3 linked regions of the Tamandua tetradactyla genome follow. The protein of the gene in region 3 purifies or fractionates together with the protein of the main gene of each other region. This does not show direct contact. Links are inferred from orthologs where the notes say so. Each region holds a gene or a part of one and is shown on either strand. Other genes may lie near its edges. The genes, in order: STAT5A, WWOX and ERBB4.

Region 1 (7,308 bases), on a different chromosome or scaffold from region 3:
AGCACTGAGCTGGGCAGTGAGGACGGGAGTAACCTCCAGTCTCAGGGAACCCCAATACTATAGACCCCAGTCCCAAATCTAGAGTAAGAAGGAAGGGTCATCTGAGATAGAAGGATGATAATTTGCCAGAATTGGGGTGGAAGAGAGAAAGAAGGAGGAAAAACAGGTAACGCGGAGACTAGGGCATCTTCATAAAGCACAGTAGACATTTCTATTTCAGATCTGGTTTCCACCAGAGGTATCCCAAACTGCGCCATCTAATTACTTTCAGGAAAGACTAAAATTCAACATGTCCCCAGTGACACCTGGTTTTCCTACTAACGATGATGATCCCTCATTCCACATTCATTCATTGACCCAACGCCAAGGACTATGCTAGGTGTTAGGATACAGTGGGGAGCAAGGATATGTGAACACACACTTTCTCCAGATAGAGACATGTGGAAGGATTTCCCAACTCCTCTCCTTATACCCATGAGACACTCACATTGTTGGCTTCTCGGACCAGCCTCTGTTCATTGTACAGAATGTGCCGGATGCAGCGGACCAGCTCCATGGGGCAGCGGTCATACGTGTTCTGAAAAAATTCAACAGTAGCCACCAGTAACCACCCTCTGCTCTAGCCATGCCTATCCTTTCCTCTTCTCCAGTCCCTGCCTCGGCCTTCCCAGGGAAGCCATAATTAGAAGCCCACAAGATACAAAGCACTTCCAATCTACCAACTCCTTTGACTCTCCAGCACAGCAACCCTATGACATAAGTTGAAATTATCCCCTTTTCACAGAGGAGAAAACTGATGCTCAGCGAGGGTAAGTTCTTGTCCAGAAACAAACGAGTAAGTGAGTGGCTGACTCAAGGTTGAGACTCAGGGCATCTGACACCAAGGTCAAGGCCCTTTCCACCATACTCCTGCCCTGGATTCCTGTTTGCTCCCCCCTCCCCCAGGTTTTTCCTATTTCTTTCCTCTTCTGGGATAGACTTTTTATTTCCCTAGCACCCTACTGCTGATAGTTAAGAAGGGCTATCTAAGAAATACAACCGAGTTCCAATAAATGCTTAACTACAGTTACCACCCAAACCCCTTTCCTGCTTCTAAAAAACACCCTCTCTTTCCCCATATTCACCCCACGTGAAGAAGCAGCTCCATTCTTACATTAAAACCTCAATTCAAGGCCCTTTTATCCAGCTCTTGTCTCTAGGACAACTCTGCTCCTTTCTCACCCCAGTTCAATAGCTCTTCCTCACTTAAAAGAGCCCCAAGAAGGATGTCTGGTTGTCTCATCCACGTATTTCTAGAATGTACCATCCTCCATCCTCCAACAGAGGACTCCTGATTCAGGCTACCTCCGTCCCTTCTGATGTCACTTAAGTTCATTGATCTGTCCATAATGCTGTTTCACACATCCCCCATCTCTTGGGGCCAAACACTGCCCCCTCCCCACTCCTTGCTTTGAATTATGTTCAAGGAACCTGACAGGTCTGATTTAGAAAGAGGGGGTGGGGGAAATTGAAGAACAAAAAAGTTGCCGAAAAGTTCAGGGTCACATGGTGAGTCAGTGGCCAGGCCAGGAAAAAACCCAAGGGTTCTGATGCTGGGAAGAGAAGAGAAGGCGGATGCTGGCTCCCCAAGCCGACCCAGAGTGCACACCCACCTGCAGCTGTGTGGCATAGTGCCCCAGCTTGATCTTCAGTAAAAACCCATCTTCCCCCACTTGGTGCTCTGCCTTCTTCTGCAGCTCCTGCACCAGGCCCTCCAGGAGCTGGGTGGCCTGGGCTCGGTCCTGGGGATTGTCCAGGTCCACGGCATCCCTCGGGGCAGGGCAGGAGAAAGAAGCTTATTTGGGTGCCTACTTGGGCATGGAGATGGGGCACCAAAAAAGACATGGAAATCCCAGGCTTGTGATTAAGGGTGCTCCTGGACACAGAAAACTTGTTCCTGGCAGTTCCATGGGCCTCAGAGTCTAGAAACATCCCCTCTCCCCTCCCAGGCCTCCATTTCCCTGTTCCCCTTTCCCAAGGACACCGCCTTTTCCTGCACCTTCCGCACAGAGAGGGACAGACACGATCAGATTCATACCAAACCACAAAGAGCAGAGCCAGAGGCTAAGGAGCATGAGCCGTAGGTACTGGCAGAGGGAGGCAGAGGGCAGGGGGCACTTACCAGGGCTGACTCTCAATCCACTGCGCCAAGTAGTGTCGGACCTCAATGGGGAAGTGCTGGCCGTACAGCACCTGCATCTGGCGCAGCGCATCTCCCTGCAGCTGCTGGGCCTGAATCCAGCCGGCCATGTCCCTGCACGTAGGAAGAGGGTCCCTCGTCTTCCACAGACAGCTTTCCTGTGTGGGAAGAAAGATGGTGAGGAGGGGAAGGGAAGCTTTCCCCTTCAACAAGAAACTCTGAGGCTTGGGGAGGGGCTCTCAAGAGTCAGGTACCTCCCCCTCTTCCTCTCCCCTCGCCCCACTGGGGCTTCCCCGCTGAGGGGGAGGGGGACAGCTAGAAACTGAAAGAGAAACTCTGCAGCGAACGCTCTCGGGTCCTCTGGGGAGGGCTGCAAGAATCCCCCCACCCGGAGCTGCCTCGGACCTTGAGTTCCAATTTCTAGAAAGGCCGGATGATCTGGCCCAAAGTTAGGGCTGCGCCAGCGACAGTTCCCACTCGACGGCCCGGTCCCCGCGGGCACGTGGCTGGGGTTATTAGCAGAGCAGGTTGGGGGGACTGACGCTCCGCCCCCTCGGCTGCGCCCCCTAGCTGCGCCCCACCTGCTCCTCCCGTCCAGCTCAACAGCGCTCCCTCCCCGCCGTGGGCGACGATGCCCCCTCCCTCCGCCAGCGTCCGAGGTGCGCGCTGCGCCAAAACTCCCCCTCGATTCCGGGGACCCGTTCCCCGTCCCCCGCCCGTCGGGCCCCGGGATCCTCCGGCCCGAGGGCCGGGGCAGGAGTCGAGCGCCCCCTCTCCGCGCGCGCCGCCGGGGACGCGCCGCCCGGCCACCCACCTGGTCAGGGCCGAGCCGTCCGGCCTCGGCGCCGGCTCTCAGCCCCGCGGCTCTCGCTCCCGGCGCGGTCTCCTGGCGGCGGCGGCGGCTGTTACTACAGGAAGGAGCAGAGAGCAGCGATTTCCTCCTCAAAGGTCAGCTGCCTCCGCTAGACCATACACAGCGCGCGAGCTCTCGCCAACACCCTTCCCTGCCTCCGCCCTCGGTCGCCCGTTCCTCCGCCAGTGCGCAGCGGCGGCCGCGCTCCGGGCTCCGGGCGGCGAGGCGAGGCGGGGCGGCGCCGGGCGTGGGGGTTGCCCCGACGGCGACGTCCCCCGGGAGCCCCAGCCAGTCCTTCTCGCCTGCGGCGCGGCGGGAGCGTCCCGGGACGGTGGCGGGCGCGAGGCTCGGGAGTCGCCGTGGGGGCGGGGGAAGGTGGGAGGACCGGGAAACCCCGGCCTCTGGAAATCCCAAACCGGAGCCTCAGTTTTTCTTAGCTGTGAAGAGGGAGGAGGGAAGGGTTGGCCCAGCTGGAGGTGTCTTCCAGCTCCGGCGTTTGTCATCGTTTGAGTCTAGATTTTTAAAAAAATATGTGGCGTGTGTGTGTACCCGTGAGCTGGAGGCAAAGCTTTAGTGACCTTAGAGACAGAGCCCCCGTGAGGGGAAGGACTTGGGGATTCCGGAGGAGTGGGGTGTGGGGGGGACACACCTCCCCCGCCGCCGTCCGTCGCTCCTCTCACCCGTGACCCACCCCCTGTAGCGGGAACAGCAGAAAACCCTGACAGCTATTTCAACCCCCCTCCCGCAATTCTGCAGGTAAGAAATTGAAGTCCAGGGAGAAGGGGCTTCCCAGGATCATGCCGGGCGCATGGAGCAGAGCCTAGATTTCATCCCCAGAGTATGAACCACAAACCGTTTCGCACATGCCCCACCCCCATTCATCCCAGCGCAGCCACATCTGACGGGTCTCCTACCTTCAGAAAGGCCCGGGGAGGAGTTGTGTTGGACCCACTCACAGTCCCTCACAGCCTCCCTTAGGCCTTGCCCCAGCATCCAGTAACCTCCAGGAGAGCCTCAGTCACAGGCCCCTCGAGTGCACGCCCCCCCCCTCCAGGGCCCACTGGGTTGGGTAAGGCCGAATTGGAAGCCTTCCATCCCCTTTGCCCAGCTTCCCTCTCCTCTGGGCCTCCCCTCTGCCTGGCAGCTGGTATTGGCAGCACCAAGGGAGGGGCCGGCCAGGCTGCCCACTCACAGCCTCGCTGGGCCAAGACCACATATCCTGGGGGGAATCGTGCTCATCTGTCTCCCTCCCTGATCCCTTATTGGGTCTGCCCTTTTCTCCCCATTCCCTGTTCCCCTCTGCCTTCTTGCCTCTCCCTGGTCCCATCACTGCCTCCCCCACTTCTACTCTTTATTTAGAGAAAAACTGAGAAGCCGGAATGTCTAGGTCCTCCCACCCCCCTTCCATGTGTGGTCACGGTCTCTTAGTTGGCAAGGTCACGGGGAAAGGAATTGAAAACTGTAAGGGGGTGCGTGGAGGATTGGGGAAACCTTACTCTGCAGATGTTCCACAGCAGAGCCCAAAGGAGGAGAATCTCAGCCCTTCTGCCTCACTTCTCCCTGCCCCCTGTGCAATGGATTTGGCATTAGGAGGGTCAGACATGCAGAGAGAGGGTCACTTGGAATGAGGGCCATGTGTCCAGCTGAAAGCGACCATCAAGATGATTTTACAAATGGGGAAACAGAGGCCGGGGAGGGGAAGTGATTTGGCCACTGTCACGCAACTTGTTAGTGGCAGTGGCGGATCCAAACCCATTGCCACACAGTGGGTGGGGCCCATTCAGTGGCACCTGTGCCCTCCAGCCCACTCACTGGGGGGGAAATCAGTCATAGGGGCCATTTTCTTGGGTTCCCAAGGTCCTTTGAGCTAAGATTAGAGGGCAGAGAAAGCCCCTTTGCCATGAACCCACTCCTACTCCAGGCACGCAGGGCTGCCAGCTTCAGAGGGTGGGGGCCCTGCTTGTCCACTTCTCTAGGCAGCTGCCTCCCCCTGGGCCTGTTAGGCTGCTGCCCCAGCTGGCAGCCCCACCCACCAAACATCTGGCTGGGTTGGGCTTGGCTTGGCTGGGGCGTGGATAGTCCTGGATCCTAAAAAACTGGCATTGAGGTGCCAGCGAACAAAATAGGAGGGATTATGGGTTGGCCTAAAAGGGTGTGCCCCAGTGCCTTCAGAGTCCTCACTTGCTTCCCTAGCCCCCACCCCATGATTTGTGTCCAACCCCTGACTTCTGGCCTTCTCTCACTTGGTCTTTCTGTCTCTAATGAATCCCAGTGCCCTTCATTGCATATTTCTCCCCTTTGCTTTGATTCTTTCTCTCTCTCCTTAGGTCTCTGTCTGACTTTCTATTTGGGTCTGCTTGGGTTTCTCTCCATTTCTTTGGACCTCTGTTCTCACCTTGAGATTCACTGGGGTGGAGGAGGAGCTTTGGTCAGAGGTCACCCAAGGGGATGGAGGAAGAAAGGGTGTCACAGTCCGGTTGGGGCCAGAGGTAACTGGTCATGACTCTGGATAAAACGACTACCTGGAAATGTCAAATTTGGGGTTTCATTTTGCTTTTGGTACCCAGGTTTGGTCTGTGCTATTTCCCACCACAAAGCGCCCTGGTAAGTTTCAGGTGCCCAGTCTATAGAGGAGAAAACTGAGGCACAGGGGATGGGGTTTAAGAAGATCAGAAACTGCCTAGGGTCTGGACAGAGCTGGGGTCCCAGGTTGGCCTTCTGCCCCTTAGCTGCCCCTAATCCCCATTATGTGGGGAAGGAGGAAGGATTTTTCCCCAAATCTTTTCTTTAGGAATATTTCATTAGGAATAATAATAACCCCCAACCTAGTCTATAGCTAGCATGCCATACACGTACCTTGAACTGCATTGTGGCACAATTCATGCGTTGTGTACATTCATACACAAATGGTTGTACTCTTCAACTCAACAGATCCTTAAGACAATTTTGGAGCTAGACAGGGCCAGAATCGTCCCCTTTGATTAGCTCAGTCCAAAGCTCTCTGACTAGTTAGTGTGCAGTTGGTCCCAGGACCCAAGTTGCCCAGCCTTATGGGCAGAGTACCTCCTCTCCCAGCCCCAGCAGACGCCTACAGAGTAGGGACGTCTTCTTTGGCTGGGCTAGCCCAGAATTGTTCTCTGGTGCAGAGCTTCACACCCCCAGCCCTACCCCAGCCCTTGCTCCTACTCTGTCCTGGGTTTTGTGTGGAGGTGGGTTTGAGCTTATGAAGGAAGGGAAGAATTATCCTAGATCCCCTTTCTGCCTTTTCCTTGGAGACCAGGTTAGCTGAGAAGGCCCTACTGATGCCCTCACCCTGGGGGGAACAGATTGAGGTCACCTTGACATGACCATCCTACGGGGTGGGGGGACGTGGTACAGAGGCGCCTTTGTCTCCTCTGCTGTACATCCCTTCTTCAAGAAGAGTTCCTGTTGCATGGAAGCCAGAGGGGAGGTGGGGTGGCGGTGACAGGCCTGCTTAGGAAACCTGGAGGCATCCAGGAAGCAGCTGGACATCCCAGCAGAGTGGGGAGAGCAGCAGCCCTTGGGCTCTTAAACAACCTGCTTCACCCCTGCCCTACCCTGGTACCTCCTGGTAGAAATGATCCCCTCCATTCTTATCCCCAAAGATAGAGCAGGACCTAGGGAGGGTGTGTGTGTTGCTTAGTGAGGAATTCTTAGTGACGGAGAGGGGAAGGGTGATGCCACCGGCTAGGTTCCCGGCGATGCCCGTTCTTTCTTTCTTTCCTGTGTCCCTGGCCACCTCCCCACTCTTCAGAGAAGCCAGTTTACAATGAAGCCATCACGAGAACACAAGGCCATCCTGCCTGAGGCATATTAACTAGCCTCCATTTCTGGGAACAGAGTGAGGGGAGGGGTTACGGGGTGGGTAGGAGGGGGAAGTCCTTCCTTCTTTTGTTTAGCCGTCTTGCCCAGCTGCCTTGTGGGAGAGGCTCACAGGCTGAGTTCTCTCTGGTCAAGGTTCGTCTGTACCAAGTACCCGTCTCCTACCCAACTCCCGAATGAGGTGGGCAGGAAGGAGGCCTCCCTTTGTCCATCCCCCTCATTGCAGGGGTAGGCCCTGAGAAGGTGGGTCACATGCAAGCTGAGCTGGGCAGCTGAGTGGGACTGGCTGCTGGCCTGGACAGCCTGGGTTGGCCTGGCTGCTCATCCTCAGCCATGAAGACTTGGGCCCTTCTGCCCACTGAGCTCATTTCTCCTCCTTCTAGCCCAACAAGAACTCTTTTGTGCAGTAGCCAGCCCAGGACCTGACTTCAAG
Region 2 (7,852 bases), on a different chromosome or scaffold from region 3:
TGGCCCATGGGCCCAGCTGAGGGTGCCCCACATCTTCTGGGGATGGAGTCCGAAGCCCCACAGCCCTGGGTTTCTGGATCTCCCACTTGCCAGCAGGGTGCCCTTAGGGAAGGCCTCTGACCTCCCTGTGCCTCAGTTTCCTCATTGGTGAAATGGTGATAAAAACAACACCCACTTCTTGGGGTTATAAAGAGGACTGAAGAAGTTAACATGATTGACGAACTTAGAACTGTGTCTTTCACACGGAAGTCTTTTTTTAAAATAAATTCTTATGTGTAAAAAATTAATTAAAAGGTATTCTTTTTCATTATACCCTAAAATTACTTTTTAACAAAGAGAAAACCACAACATATCCCCAGTGTTATCTTACCAACCTTAAATAGAGGCTTTCTTTAATTTTTTCTTTCCTTTCAATAAGCTTTTGGTAATTTAAAGAGATAATAGTGATCTTAATTTAGACCACAGATTCAAAGTTAAATTTATATTCTACTGCATGAACATCACTTTCAAGCATGTTCTTCTAAGGTATTAAAAAAAAAAAAAAAAAGGCAGCATAATTTCCTTAGACACAAAGAGCCAGCGCCCATTAGGAGAGCCAGCCCGGAGCAACAGGGCTCCATCCCCTGCAGGCCTGCAGCAAACCTGCGCTAAATGAATTAATTTGCTTACTACATGAGTATATATCTTACATCTTCTAGATGCTAAGCACTGGAATACAGAGGCGAGCAAGAAAAGGTATCTGCTCTCATAAAATTTACAATCTGCAGGACAGTGAGTAAATAAGGAAGTGTATTAAGATAACTACAGATCGTGCTAAGTACCATGAAGCAGGTAAACAGGTGATGGGGTGGAAGGTACAGGGATAGGGCTCAGTCAGGGAAGGTCTCCTGGGACAGATGAAAGGAATCCTTTGTGCAAAGAGCTCAGAACAGAGCAAACAGTAAGTACCCGGTTAAGGAGTGCCTGGACCCCTGCAACAGCCTAATGACTCCCTGCTGCAAGAATTTTCCCTTTGGTTCTCCAGAATCAGAAATCATCTTTCTAAACGCACACACCAGATGTCACTTCATGGCTTCACCCTGGATCCTGAAGGCAGAGCTCAACTCCTCAGAAGGGCACAGAAATGCCTCCACAAAGTGGTTCCTTCCTCCTGTGCCTGAGCCCTTCACAGCCCAGCACCACACACCTCCCAGGTCTCTGGACAAGCCATACTCTGGGGGGTTCTGCTCTCACGGTTCCCTCTACCTATGCTGCCCTCCTGTCTCCACTTTTTCTGGACAGCATGGCTCAGGGGCCAACTCTCCCAGGTACACTGGCCTAACATGTTGCCTCTCCCCCACCTCATGCTAGGTAGGCTGCTCCTCCTACATGCACTGCACTGGACTATCTTACTATCTCGGCACTTGGCAATACAGGATTGGGCACTTTCTAAGGATGACAAAAGGGCCTTATTTATCTCTGTATAAGCCCAGCAATGGGCCTGTCACATAATAAGATCCCAAATGTGTTCCGAATGCATGAAGCCACTACGGTCTTTTTTATGTCTTTCTAGCAGGCCACAAAAGACAGCTGTGATTCACACCCTTGGGTAAATCAGAATCACCTAAGGTGATTTACAACATGAGGTAAGGGTGGGGGGGATGAGGGGAAGGAATCCTATCCAAAACCAATTTAAATCAGAATCTCTGGGAGTGATTCCCAGGAAAAGGTATTTTTACAAAAGCTTTCTACAAGTTGGAAAATTATTTATCTATATCCACTTTCTCAAAGTAGGGTGATAATCCACTTCACCTGGAAATTTTTTTAAATGCAGGTTCCCCAAGTCGGGGGTCTACTCTGGTAGGTTCCCTGTTAAGTGGTAAATTTTAATATCTAATCTGTGGCGGCTGCAGAACCAGCAAGAAAGGCTAAAAGTTATTGAGCCCTCACTGGTTTTTATTAGCTTTAACTGGGTATTATCAAGTGCTCTGCTAAATGCCTTGGGCACAGTGCCTGAGCTAACCCTCACTCACACTGACCCATTTTACAGATGAAGAAACTGAGAGTGAGTGTTCTATCCCCCAAGTTCATAGAGTGACTGAGCCAGCTCTGAAGGTTCTGCTAGTGTTTCCAAAATTCTCCTAGGAAATGACAGCGGAACTATCTAGGACGTTTGTTAAAAAAAAAAAAAAAACAAAAAAAAAACCCATATTCCTAGCACCCCACAGGGACGTGGGCATCTGCACGTTGTTTTGCTATTTTTCCATAAGGCCAGTTTGTGCATCTCTGCAAAGTGCGCTGCTGCCTCCTGAACAGCAGAGGGCGCGCCTGGACGCGGCCAAGTTACCCACGCTCGACCCAGGGCTCCAGACCCTCCTTGCGACCCTCGGAGCCCTTGGTCCAAACTCCTTCGCCATCACTTCTACTTCGCACGGCCCTCGCCAAAGGTGGTGCGGGAGGCCCGCGCCCAGGCGGGTCTGCGCGCTCCCTCCCTGCGCAGGTGGCGTCCGGAGACAGGGGAGCATTCGGGGACGTGAGGCCGACAGGGTTCCAGGTGCGTCCCCAGGCCCGGTGGCCCCACTGCGGCCCCCTTACTTGGCATAGTAAACCCAGCCATCCTTGGTGGTTCTCTCCTCCCAGCCAGGCGGCAGCTCATCCTCGCTGTCCGTGTCGTCCAGGCCCGCGTAGCGCAGAGCTGCCATGGCAGGGACAGGAGGTGCTCGGTCACCCACTCGCTGCGTCGCCCGCAGCAGAGTCTCCTTGTCCAGGAACTCAGACTTCAACAGAGCGCCGCGCGCGTCAAGGGCGCCCGACAGCTCGCGCCTGCGCACTGCGGCCCCAGAGCCGCACTCCAGTCTCCGCTGTTTCGCAGTTACCAGCGTAAAGGGGCGGGGCCTGGAGAATGGGGCGGTGAAAGCGCCGAGGAGATCGCCCTGCTGCTCGGTAGGAAGCAAGATACGGAGAACGCTCTGGGAATATGGAGGTGGAGCCGAGCTTCTTCAATCACTCCTCCTCCGGGAAGGGACGTGCACATCCAGTCACGGGCCAGGACTCCACCCGTTGCTGGGCGACCCGTAATCACTTCCGCGTTGCTCTGGCCAATCCTGCAGGAGTCCCCAACAATTGAGCATCCTGGGAAATGTAGTCCAGGCCCCATAGAGCGAAAGTGAGGCAGAAAGGAAGGAAAGTAATCGTGGTTTCTTTGCCTCCGCCTTCCTTTGATTCACAAACTTTGTTATGCATATAAGTTACCTGGAAACCGTTAAAAATGCAAATTTCTGTTTACCTGATAACCAAGTCCTAGAAAAGTTGTTTCCCTCCAGCCCCAGCGTGATTCTATCAATAATAAGAGCTAACAGTTATCAAGTGTTTAATTTCCTGTCCAGAACCAGGAATTTATAGATTATCTTTTTCACGTATCCAGCAACTCTGTTAGGAGGGCACAACTCGAAAAGGCGAGTTAACTACCCAAGGATGCACGCTAGAAAGCACAGAACCAGAGATTTGGGGCAACTGAGAACCTGTACTGTATTATACTTATTCATTTATCTGTATGCTCCTGATTAAAACAACAGCACCACATTTATGCTTCTTTCTGTCTCTAACTGAATAAAGTGTCAGAACTTAGCAGTTTATTGAATGAATGAAATGAATAAGTAAAAAATGGTATTTTACGAGTCAACCTATTTAAAAACAAATTTTTACAGAAAGTTTACAAAGCAGACTCTCTGGAGTCCTCTTGGAGTGCTGGCATGCTGAAGCCTAACTTCAACTTGGTCTTGCCTTAGGAGTTTTCCAGAATATTCCCAACTGGAACCTAGCTTCCAACCTTATGTTACAGGGAAATCTGCTGACTGATTTTCCTGACTTAGGGCACAGAAGAATGCAAGGCTCCACCAGAAAAAAATATATAAATTTTAAGGGGGGAAGTGTTGCTTTTTGTCCTTTTCAAGACCTGAACTGATACTGCTTTAGGATTCCTTGTCTGTAAGTTCTTAAGGAGACACTCACTTTCCTTTCAACTTCACCAATCAAAAGCTAAGTTAACGAAAGCCAATTTTAATTTTAGCAAGCCTGCTATACCGTCTCAAGCCTATCAAAACATGATGTTTTCCAAATCCATGGGCACTAAAATATGCTACCTTTAATTTCCTACTTCTTTGTTCAGCCCAATTTAGCTCCTTCCCCCTCCCTCAAACCCATTTTTTCCTTTGCCTTGAATAGGAAATTAGGTCACAAAGACCCTGGTGGTGGGGAGGGAGATGAATGGAGCCCAACCGATTAGCCTCCACTTCTCTAATCATTCTCTGTGATCTGTGCTCAGCTTCTCAAGGACCGTTTAGAAATATCTTGGGTTGCCCTGGCCTGAGCCTCTCCAAGCACCTGTTGCCTGTGACTTGGCATCAGTCCACAGATAATGATTTAAAGTGGTGCTTTCTGCAAACTGGGTAGCCATGGTCTGGATAGAATTCTAAAGGTCTGGGTCAATCCTCTGTTGTTCCTACCATGTTAGTATTTACTCCAGGGCTTCTCCTGCCTTCTACACCGGGATTCTTCAACCTGGGCTCTAACGACATTTTGGACGGGATAATTCTTTGTTGTGGGGGTGTAAAGTCAAATGCCAAATAAGCCTTTTGCCAGTCTTATAACAAAGGATTATCATGACATCTTATTCCTCCTCTTCTGACATCTTATTTGTTGCAGTTTAATAAGACATATGGGAAGTCTTTCCTCATGGACCTGAGAGCCATCTCTTTGAAAGGTGATAATCAGAGAAGAAAATACTGAAAAAGTTTCCAGGGGGCAGATGGACCTATCTTTAGTTGTCCCCAGACCCCAAATTGCAAAACCCACCTCCAGATATGAAGACATTATCTTGAAAACAGGAATATAATGGGTTGTGTCCATTTAGCTATCTAATACAGTAAGAATTCTGTCTTTACAATCTCTTTAGCAGAATGCCTGTGATGCATCACAGTCTCGTTTAATGATTATTCAATAATAAAATTGTTTGTCTGGTCTTTGTCTTCCCTTGATGAAAAACACAAAATCCTTTCAAGGTTGAGAAAGGATTTTGTTTTTAAGTATGTTTCCCCAACATGGGACTGTTGTATGCAATAGGATGTTTAGCAGCATCCCTGGCTTCCACCCACTAGATGCCAGGAGCTTACCCCTCGCTCATTTGTAACAACCAAAACTGTCGCCAGACATTGACACTATTGGCCCAGTCGAGAACCAAGCCAGGAAGTTACTAACTGCTGAATCAAACACTGAGATTTACTTTAGGCATCCAGGAGCCCATTTCTGTCAGTAGATTACAGGTTGGTACTTGGACCCTGTTGATGTCACTACAAGCCCTGATCACAGAGCTCTGTAGCACTGTCAGATGCACCTGCCTGTCCCATCACTAGCCTGTCTCCACCAGAGAGCCTTGGGCCGGCAGAAAGTCCAAGTGAGGGGGCTTAAACCCCAATAATGGCCCAAAGGATTATCATGACATCTTATTCCGCCTCTTCTGACATCTTATTTGTTGCACTGTAATAAATATATGGGCATTTGGGAGACTTGTGAGGAATAGCATGTCAGATTTTAGGATTTATAGATTTTGATTCACTAAAACGAACAGTGTTTTAATCAGGCTCATTGATTGCAAGCTGCAGAGATTCATTCAAGAGCAAGAGTTTATGGGCAGGGAGTGTGCACACGAGCTGAACTAGGACATTAACAGGACACAGGGGAGCCCAAGGTCAGCCCCGTTTTTGTTTTTTCTTCTCATGAGTTTCCTGATCCCTTGCTTCCCGCTCTCTGCTCATGGGCTAAATCTCCCCCTCTCTCCTTACTGACTTGCTCTGTTTATTTATCATTTTGCAACCTTCCCGGCCCCATAACTTCAGCTTGCACTTGGCTTTGACTTTGTTCCTAGTAGGTGAACTCTGCTTGATTTATATACTACAATTATAACAGATTTGAGGTGTTTGGGTTTGGGAATGAGCTAAGCTCCTCAAAATGTACCCCTAAGAAAGCCTAAAGAGTGGCCTAGTTTTGTAAAATCTACTGGATCGCAATAGTGAGAAGGTTGAAAAAAAATCCAGGTGTGGTTACACAGCTGCACACTAGATGGTACTATCTGCCCAGGGACTTAAAGGCTGATGCCCAATTCAGGACTTGATTTAAGCATTTCCATAGTGGAACTGTCTTTTCCTTTTGATTGATTACTTCTACGATACCTACAATTTATTAACATATGATTGATCCCTTTTTGCTGAAAGCAATTTGGCTTTACTAACAAGAAATGTATGCAGTGGGACCAAGTTTTAATGTAGCATTCCTAAAACCACATTTCTTTCCTTTATCATCATTAACCATGACGATGTTCATTTCCTCCCCCAACCTGACACCCACCCCCAAAAAATCTGCAAACCTGATTTAATTTAAATCACCATTCCCTGGGAATTAAGCCTGATTTTTCTGGTGCCCAAGTCAATACGTTAATGAATCTAAGAAGCCTATTTGCTCTTCTTTTGATAAGCTTTCCATTAGAAAGTAACCAGCAAGGGGGACAACTGAACAGGATTCTTAGGAAAATCTCTCCTAGTCAATGTGCTCTTACTTGGGAAAGTGTGTTTGTATTCACTTATTCATTCAAGAACAATGAATGGGGGAATTTATGCTTCGTCTCTGTAAGAAACCAGGAAAATGAGACACCCTCTGTCTCTAATTCAGTCTGTTAGAATAAGATCAACAGACATACAAAGAGTGGTAACCAAGAAGTTAAGATTTAGGGGATGATTATGATTACTGAATCATTATATAGATATTCCTTTTTTTACTTCCTGGTATATGAGAATAGACAGAGGGAAATACCTGACATCTCTGAACTGTAAACCAGCTGCCTTGATCTCTGATAATGATTGCATAGCCTTTATCTTGTGCCCTTGTGATTGTAAAAAGATGTGACTGACCCTCACATTTTATCTGGTTTTCCAACTTTGGAGTCCTGTGATCACTGAGACAGCCCCTAATGTTTACTAATGAAGGGTCCTGGGTCAGCCCAGAAGCAACCCACCCCAAGTTCAAAGTTATCTTGATCACCAGAGCTGAATCTAACCAAAATGGGCCCACTTGACATGCATGTTAGCTTAGATTTTAACCCATCCATCGCCTACACGTCATTATGATACTAAAAATCACACCCATCATCATGTTAAGGCCTCCATTTTCTTACATGCTTTCTGTGACTAAGCGTGTAATTAATCTGTGCATGCTCAATAATTAAATCACTCTGATTACATCATTTAGACTCACTGTGAGAGGTAAGTTTGCAATTTGGAGCCAAGCTCCACCTGAAGTTATGCTAATCTCCCAGGAAATTGGAAGAACAGTACACTATCTTCCTTGATGATTACATTTCAAAGAAATGGCTCCAGTTCTTGAAACATTCCTATATTGCAAAATTCGAAGGGACTTATTTAACTTGGAAAAAAATATTTACATACATTTCAAAAAAAAAAAAAACAGAGATCTTAATACAAGTTTTCTAATGTCAGTGCTCAGAGAAAGAGGAGAAGGTAGGAAGTCTCTTTATATACCAGGGGAAAGTAATTCCTTTTTTTTTGTATTTGCCTCTTACAGCGCCTACTTCATAAGACTGTTGTGAGGTTAAATGAGTCAACACATTTTATTTATGTATCGTCAGTATGTATTGAGAAAATAGAAGCCAGTATTTCAACATTTGGAATTTAATATAGAAAATTCATTGCAGGATGCCACATAAGATAGAATAGCTGCCTGCATTAGGTATTGCCCAGAGGGACCCCTTTCTGAGAAAGGATTTTCCAGAAGACCAAAACAATTGACCCACAGGGGCTTTCTG
Region 3 (7,977 bases):
CTCAGTATTAAAAAAATTAAGGCTTAATCGTGCATATAGAAAGAAAAAGCACTTACTAAAAATGAAATGATCTTGGGAGGGCCTCTTGGTATAATAAATTAACTAAGGTAGTAAATAAATTTCTTTAGTTAATGTGTTGATGCATTTTTAAAATTTTGAAGTTTTAAAGGTATTTTTTTTTTTGCTTTAAAAAATTAAATGTCACCAAAATATGAAGTGAAATCTAGAAACCAGAGGGTATGGAACAAAGGTGAATTTCAAGTGCTCAGTTAAAAAAATAAAATAAAATAAAACGAAACTGTTTCTGTCATTGGCTTGATCATCACAATAATGAACTTGATCAGTACATATCAAATTTTTCCCTTGACTAATAACATGAAGAATTCGAAGTCTTGAGTATTTCACAGTAATATAGTATTGCGCTCATTTGGATATTTCCCTAAGGCTATTTAAAATGTGTGTCTGTCTCTGTGTTGGTGGCCCAGATGGAAACGTATGTGGGGGCGAGTTGAGAATGGGTAGAGTAAGGAAAATAAGAATTCAAGTGCACGAAAATTATGACTAGCACTTCATAGGTGGTGGGTAAGTCATAGTCCCATAAAGTCTTTGATTTGGGACATTATATGTATCTACTTCTTTTAAAGATGAGGAAACTGGCACAGGCATATGAAGTGACTTGCTCAATTTAGCAAGGTAACTTAGATGTGATAAAGAAAGAAAAAAAAACAGAACCCACTATTTATTTTTAAATGTTCTTGAGAAGATAACCGATTTATCTATGATAGGATCCCATTTTCTCTTCTTTGTTGATATCTGCTCAGATTTATATTAATGGCCAATAATGGCAAAATATGGACAGTAGCAAGCTCTAAGCTTACTTTTAGAGAGGTTTCAGAATCAGGCTGATGAGTAGAATGAATTAGGAAAATTGGGGACAAAGTTAAGGATCAGATTGAACTTTGAGTTCATTGTATTCTTTTCTCCCACCAGCAGCCTTCTGTTACTCATGACATCAGAACTTACTCAGAAAGCTATCATTAATGGAAGAAATGAGGCAGAAAGGGAGATATGGGAAAGCATTATAGGACAAAGCCATTTTAATGTTGGGATTACACTTCATACAAGGGAAATCATGAAAAAAAATGGGAAAAGGAACTCAAGAATATGGACTACATCAAGATGTCTTTCTCAAGGGGCAGGCTGCCTATATGATCCCATTCAAGTTGGAGAAATTCTTTTCCCATTTCACACTGTTCTTGTTTCAGGGAACAAAACAAAAATTGAAGTAACTTAAGGAAAATGGGAACTTGAACAACTAGCCACAAGAAGAATCCTCTTTGGACCCATCTGGGTTTTGTACCTTCCAAATGGCAGCTTCATTCTTTCCACTGCAGCCTGGTAATGCCTGTGTAGAAGGAAACATAGCCAAGCCAGTTTCAGAGTTGTTTTTTTTTTAATTTCTAAAGCTATCAGTGAAAGACTACGAGCTATTTCTCAGGGAAGGGACTCAGGGCCAGTGAACATTTGTCACTCAGTTAACAGTGACCAAGTGCTTTGATTGGTCCAACTTATAACTTGGCAGTGAAGGCAAGGTTGTTCAATGGAGGTAGATCCAATTTAAAAATGTAGAACTAAGGTAGGGTAATTCCTAGAAAAGGGTATAGCAGACAACTCCAAGTGATCATCTGTTATTTATGAAGTGCTTATACATACATACATGCTGGTTAGTCTTGTATTTTCTTTTGTTTTTCCCCAGGTAGCAAACAACAGCAACACATTTTAGTTAACTCAGTTAATGGGAATAAATTATAAAGATACAGAGAAAAGTGAAGAATTACAGAGAGCCCATCTCAGCAAGCGTACAACAGTCCAGCCAGTATATCCTTCTTTCCACATCAGGTAGTAAGTGTTTCCGAATCTGGAGGGCCTTTCTTACGAAGATTCCGTTGAGATTGGACACAAATGAGAGAGACACACATGATTCTTCCTCATGGTTTCTACTTTCTCATCTTTCCAACTTGCCCCCACACAGTACCATTTTCCTGTCTACATCTTTAAATCTCACATTGAAATTATTTGAACTAGACTCTGATTGGTAGAGCAGGCACCAGGATGCTTCTATTGAGTAGAGCTCTCATTCCAAATCATTTTATAAGCTGCTGTTCAAATACTCACTTTTGGCAAGTTACCAATCATTATTTCAATCAGAGACAGGAAAATGGAGCCAAAGCAGAAGAAACCGAGTAGTAGAGGCAAATCATGGTGTGTTAGGTATTTTAACTGGTAGACATCTTTTATGGGCTGTCTAGTACCCACAAACATAGACAAAGTTTTTTTCCCAATCAATAAACATTAGTTAAAAACCCTCATTTGCCAAGAGTTATTCTGGAAGGTATGGATGAGACCAAGACATACAAGAGAGTTTCTGTCACAAAAGAGCTATAAAATTGATAGGGAAGGAAAACTATCAGAAGGAACACAAGTAAAAAACAAACAAAAACTCCAAAACATTCAGACTATTTAATTTTTCCCACAATTTAAGTTAAAATACAAAATTAATATCTTGCAACAGAATTAGCATCAGAAACAAGACTTTTTTTTTTTTTTAAACACAGAGATTTAAACATTTCCAAAAGCAAGAAGCTTGTTTGTTTTTGTCACTTAAGTTTTTATCCTAGGGACAAAATGGGAATTTTAGAAAGTAACTTTCACAGAGGAGAGGTGTCTGAGAGTCATCATAAAAATCAGAAGAGGATTTAAGAAAAAAGGACTGAGAAGAGCTTGAAAGAAAGAATAAAAAAATAGAAGGGGGGTAAAAGAAATAGAAATCAAAGATGATCCATACCAGCAGTGAGCACAGTTTTGCTGCAATCTATACCATTCTGGGCAAATCACCATCATCTGCTCTCAGCTTAGCTTCTGCTCATCCTGGGCTGCTTCTGAGCCTCTTCTCAAGGCTTCCTATTTGCTGTGGGCCTAAGAGAGAAAAGGGTTCGGACTTCTGGGTCGCTGCTACTGTTCCTGTCTGTTCTTAGCTCCATGGAGCTTCTTAATGGGCTTGACTATAGATAAAAGGTATGGAGGAGGTCTCGAATGATGAGTGAAGAGGGAGGGAGGCTGATTTTTAGGCTCTCCAGATACTATTTATTTGTATATTTGCTGTCCCTAGAGAAACCAAAAAAAAAAAAAAAAAAAAGAAAAAAAGGGAATATAATTCATAGAATGCCTGTGCAAATAGCAAACCAATAACCTACTACCCCCAGGAGGTTCTGGACCCTATTCAGGATACAGTTCCAGAGCTGCATAAGGCAACGGATACGTAGCCTGCTATGACCTGGTCCCAAGATATTTCAGATCCAGAGAAGCCCAGAGACTGCCATAGCCAGCGCTGATCTGAGGAGTGCACATTTTCAGTGTGAACAAGGAAGGAACTTAAACCTGGGTCAGTTATATCTTGGCATGGTCTTCTTAAATCCTTTCAGGCTGAATAGTTCAGGCCTAGGACAATTTCTAGTCCATTAGGGCTAAATCAATAGCTTTGGAATAGAATCTGCATAATGAAAATGAACCCAAACCAAGTTGTCCTAGAGTACAGGGAAAAGCTAAAAAGACCCCTAAAGTTTAAAATTCAAAGAAAGTGCTTCTACAAATCTGTTTTGCTCAGTGTCAGTTACCTTGGGTGGGAGAGGCTGCATAGTCATAGTCGGGGAACAGGGATGATAACACCCCAGGACTACCTAATCTGTGTTGATTCCCAGTTATCATACCGAGGGGAGGGAGAGGCAGTTTTGCCCCCAAGACATGCTGATTTTGCTTCTATTCTAGCGAAGGTGCGGTCTGTGGATGAGTACCTTAGGGCAATGGTGAAAATGGTGACATCTTTAAAAAAATAAAAGAAAACCAAAAAACAGGCTCCGTTGTCTGCCACTCCGCGGGCCAGCTGTCCCTGGTGTCTGCTGGGGGAGAGAAGGGGAATGTTTCAGTCAGTGGCCTCGGGTAAGCCCTTTACGTTCGTCTTCCCCCGCCCCACCATCTACTCCCTTTTGCTGACAGGTGTTTTCCCGAACTCCCGAGGCTGAGGATTTTGGGGAGTGGCTGAGCCAATAAGAGTTCCCCGTGGGGGGGCGGGAGAAAGGGCGTGGCTAGTTGGGTCAGAGCAGGGGCGGGGTTTGAACTGCTGAGCAGTGCCGGCCTGGTTGCGTGGAGGGTTTTTTTTTTTTTCTTGTTTTTTTTTTTTCCGGGAGTCTTATTAATTTCTCTGAGGGGCTGCAGCTGGAGACTGCCGAGCGTTGGAAATGACGCTCGGAGCTTTAATTACCGCAGCCGCCGGACAAGTGTGAGGAAAGCTGAGAGAAAAAAGGACAGGATCGAGGGTGAAGCAAGACGCTTCCCCCCTCTCCGCCCCTTCCCTCCCGATTTGGACTGGAGGTGCAGGGAAGCAGAAAAAGGAGCCGAACGTAGCCCGGCTGGTGGGGAGAGAGACCGGAAACCTACCGCCTCTTTGCAATCAACTTTTTTTGGAAACCTTTTATTCCCCCCTTCCTTTTTATTGTTGACCAACCAGCGCGAGAGAGAAAGTGAGGAGGGAGCGAGAAAGCGAAGGCTCACACGGGAAAATAGCTGCACAGTCCGACCCGGAGCAGCACGCGCACATCCTCACGCCCCCCCCGGGTCCCCGCCCGGGACCCGCGCGCGCAAGGACTCCCTCGCCGGCCCTCGCAGCCCGCGCAGCGCGCGCGCCGCCAGCCAGCCCCGCTCGGGCCCCCACGCGCGTCGGGCTAAGGGATCTCCTTCGCGCCCCAGAGAGGGGATATGCCATTTGGACATGTAATTGTCAGCACGGGATCTGAGACTTACAAAAATGAAGCTGGCGGCGACAAGACTGTGGGTCTGGGTGAGCCTTTTCGTGGCGGCGGGGACCGTCCAGCCCAGCGCTTCCCAATCAGGTGGGTCGCGGTTCGTTCTTTTCGCGCTCCAGCTGTTGAACCTGCTGCCGCCGGCTTGGCTGCCTCCGGCGGCTCCCTAGCTCTCTCCGCGCATCCCGAGACCCGCCAGCTTCCAGGCGTAGAGGGACCACCCGCCCGTGGCCGCTTCTTTGGGCTCTCGGTCACCCCTCTTTCCATCCCCAAACTTGCCTTGTGTGCGTATGTAATTTATCGTGAAAAATCACTGCGCGCCCCGGTCTCTCTTTTTCCTCTTTCCTTTATCACCCTCCTTTCTTTTTCGTGCATAAACGGGATCCCTTCTGGTGGCGCCTGTTGTTGAGGACGTGGGAGACCCCCAATTCATTCAGAGGAGACTCTCCTGTCCGCGTCTTGGCCCTCGAGGCAAGAAGCCTAGGAGAAGCGCGCAGCGTGGGAGTGACTGAGGGGCTGGGGTCCCGGGGCGCTTGCCGGGCCGCTTCTGAGCCGCGGGGCAGTGCACAGTGAAGCTTCGAGAGCCGAGCTTTGCACCTGTGTGTGCTGCCGGTGGGCACTGCGCCCCCAGTCGCCCGAGCCTTCCCGGGTCAGACCCGGCTAGAACCCGGACTGGGCAGCTGGAGCGCAGCGGGCGGGCGTGCCTCGGCCCAGGCGCGGGAACCCTGGGCCTCTTCGGCCGGCGTCCCGGAGTCCCTGGCCCCAGTGAGTTGAGGGGCGCTTGCTTGCCAGCCTGACCTCTTTTTTTTTTAAAAAAAAAAAAAAAAAAAAGGGCTTGGCACGCTAGAGTCTGGAGCCCGGACTTCAGGTCGGTTGCTACGTTTGGCTCCGGGAAGAGTTCTTCCTGTAGTTCAACTTGCTGTTGGCCGGAGTCCCTCCAACTTCTCTGTTTACAGCCCGACTGGGCTGTCGAGCCGGCCGGTGGCGCGAATTGATTTAACCCCCGGAGGGCGCGCGGACTACGCTGGGTGCACGACCACTGTTTGCTGGGGAGCTTAAGCCCCGGGTACCTAGACAGGCAAACGCCTAAATGACCCCCGAGGCAGCGCAGTGGGGCTGGCGCTCCCGGGCGGGCAGAGCTTCTGATAGCACCTGCAGTGCGAGGGAGCTCAAAGTTTCTGACACTTGAGTTTCCTGTGGATGAATGCGGGATAGGAAAGGACTGAGGAGAACCGGTGTCTGACTTGGCCCAAGTGGGAGGCGGAGTGGGGTGCTTTGGAGAGCCGGGGAGATTTCCGGATCCATCCGGGGCTGGTCGCGAGCGTGTGGGAGGCGGCTTGAAGAGATAAAGCCACCTGGGGTGACGATAGGGAAAGCTTTGGGCCTCTGGAGCGTGTCTTCCTGACCTCAACAAGAAAACAGCGCTCTGTAGTTTTCCCGCTCCGCCCCCGCCTCCCCCTCCTTGCCTAGTAAATAGCAAGTTATAATCACTGAGGCTTTCAGAATGACCTTCGAATGGCACACGTGCGCCGTTTGTGCTGGCCATTTGCACCCTCCCAATTACTCCGCAATTCTTCATGCATACCAGGTCCTGCGCTCCAGCCACCTCCGGAATTACACACCAACACGGACTTGAGATTCCAAGCGGCCTCTTAGATACATCCCTTTTTATCTCCCTCCTCGCTCCGAGTCCCTTCATATTTCCCCTCAATGGGTTGATTATGCACATTGACCCATTCAAAAACTGTTGCGACTGACTGACATGCAGGCTTAGCTGAGAAGAATTTCTACGAGGCAACCTACTGGGGGCTGCATGGTTCAGCCTCAGCCGCGGGGGGACCCGGCTCCGAGTCCGCAGCGATTTGGCATCAACTGTGCGGCTCGCGGGTTGAGCTATGCCGAAAAAAACCTTTTCAGAATTTCTGCAAGGAATGTAATCCAAATTAGTTCTGCAGCTGTCCTCTTCCTCGTCTCAGGAGACGCCGGCTCGCGCCCTAGCTGGTCCCGTCCCTTCTCGCTTCCCGGAGCGAATTGTCAGACCCACAAGTGAGCCCATTTAGAGCGCGAGGATTAGCGTGCCATTGTTGTTCCGTGTGTGACTCTGTACTTGAAATTCTGGGGGCACAAAGGCGAGTCTCACTTGTTCAAAACACAAAGTGATAAAGATGAAAGGGCCGCACAAAGAAACGCTCTCGGGTGCATCCCTGGCATAATTGCGACACGCATGCTGGGGTGATCCACTGGAAACTGTAAATGCCCTTGGGACATTTTTTTTTTTAATCTACCCCCACCCTCACCCCACCACACCTGGCAGGGAAAGTTCAGCTGATTTTAACATAGTGCTATTGTAAAACCAAGCTACTGTCTGGAGTGAGATTGAGGTTCACACTGTGTGTTTGTGGTTGCGTTTGTGTGTGGCCGTATGTGCCCTAGTAAATAAAGTATTGCGCGTCTCCCCTCTCGCGGTTAGCAGTCAGTAGCAGTTTGGAGGAGTTTGTTTTGGTCCAAATGAGAAATTAAGTACGGATAAGTAAACTAAGCTGCCAGAGGGCGACAAGATGTTGAGTGAATTGCTTTTAGATGAAACAAATTAAGGAAACGAGGGAAGACAATCTGCTTCTCGCATTATTAGACACGCTTGGAGTTCGGGGGGGGGAAAGTAGCATATTTTTGAAATGCTAATTTCTTAAGCAGAAGGAATGCACCTTATTTACAGCTCTATGTGAATGGAATAAAAATATAGGGGGAGTCTATTGTTTATATCTTTGAGATTTTCTTAAAATAATTGTAATTGAAGACGATTTGCATCTATTTATTTATTCTTCCTTTGCATGGCAGAATATTCAGCTTTAGAGAAGACTTTTTAGTGATTTTGAAGGACTTTGCCTCATCTCCAGAAGTTTATTTCATATAAAAATGTTATAGCCAAAGGCCCTTCATAGTGCAATTATAAGGCCTTTACCACCCAAAGAAATAATTGTAAAGTTTCCGTCTTCTAATCATTAACAGTAATCAATACCACCTTTGTATTGAAATAAAATGTGCAGTAGTATTGAAGTGCCCACTCTTACATATCTGTATACCATATAACATGCATGTTATAGACAAGTTCAATTTATAT

The links.
Region 1: the proteins of ERBB4 (region 3) and STAT5A purify together in Homo sapiens (affinity purification with western blotting; 3 studies listed by BioGRID, with this or other methods). This does not show direct contact. The link is inferred for Tamandua tetradactyla from reciprocal best matches to the Homo sapiens genes ERBB4 and STAT5A.
Region 2: the proteins of ERBB4 (region 3) and WWOX purify together in Homo sapiens (affinity purification with western blotting; 4 studies listed by BioGRID). This does not show direct contact. The link is inferred for Tamandua tetradactyla from reciprocal best matches to the Homo sapiens genes ERBB4 and WWOX.

Annotation. Positions count from the first base shown.
Region 1 is NC_135332.1:24,922,359-24,929,666, forward strand, and holds the start of STAT5A (signal transducer and activator of transcription 5A), read right to left. Parts: upstream 3,173-7,308; 5' UTR 2,994-3,172; intron 2,338-2,993; 5' UTR 2,290-2,337; coding exon 2,162-2,289; intron 1,810-2,161; coding exon 1,653-1,809; intron 578-1,652; coding exon 488-577; intron 1-487. UniProt on the Homo sapiens protein: Carries out a dual function: signal transduction and activation of transcription. Mediates cellular responses to the cytokine KITLG/SCF and other growth factors. Mediates cellular responses to ERBB4.
Region 2 is NC_135342.1:72,976,289-72,984,140, reverse strand, and holds the start of WWOX (WW domain-containing oxidoreductase), read right to left. Parts: upstream 3,030-7,852; 5' UTR 2,682-3,029; coding exon 2,575-2,681; intron 1-2,574. UniProt on the Homo sapiens protein: Putative oxidoreductase. Acts as a tumor suppressor and plays a role in apoptosis. Required for normal bone development. May function synergistically with p53/TP53 to control genotoxic stress-induced cell death.
Region 3 is NC_135329.1:187,875,863-187,883,839, reverse strand, and holds the start of ERBB4 (receptor tyrosine-protein kinase erbB-4), read left to right. Parts: upstream 1-4,755; 5' UTR 4,756-4,861; coding exon 4,862-4,946; intron 4,947-7,977. UniProt on the Homo sapiens protein: Tyrosine-protein kinase that plays an essential role as cell surface receptor for neuregulins and EGF family members and regulates development of the heart, the central nervous system and the mammary gland, gene transcription, cell proliferation, differentiation, migration and apoptosis.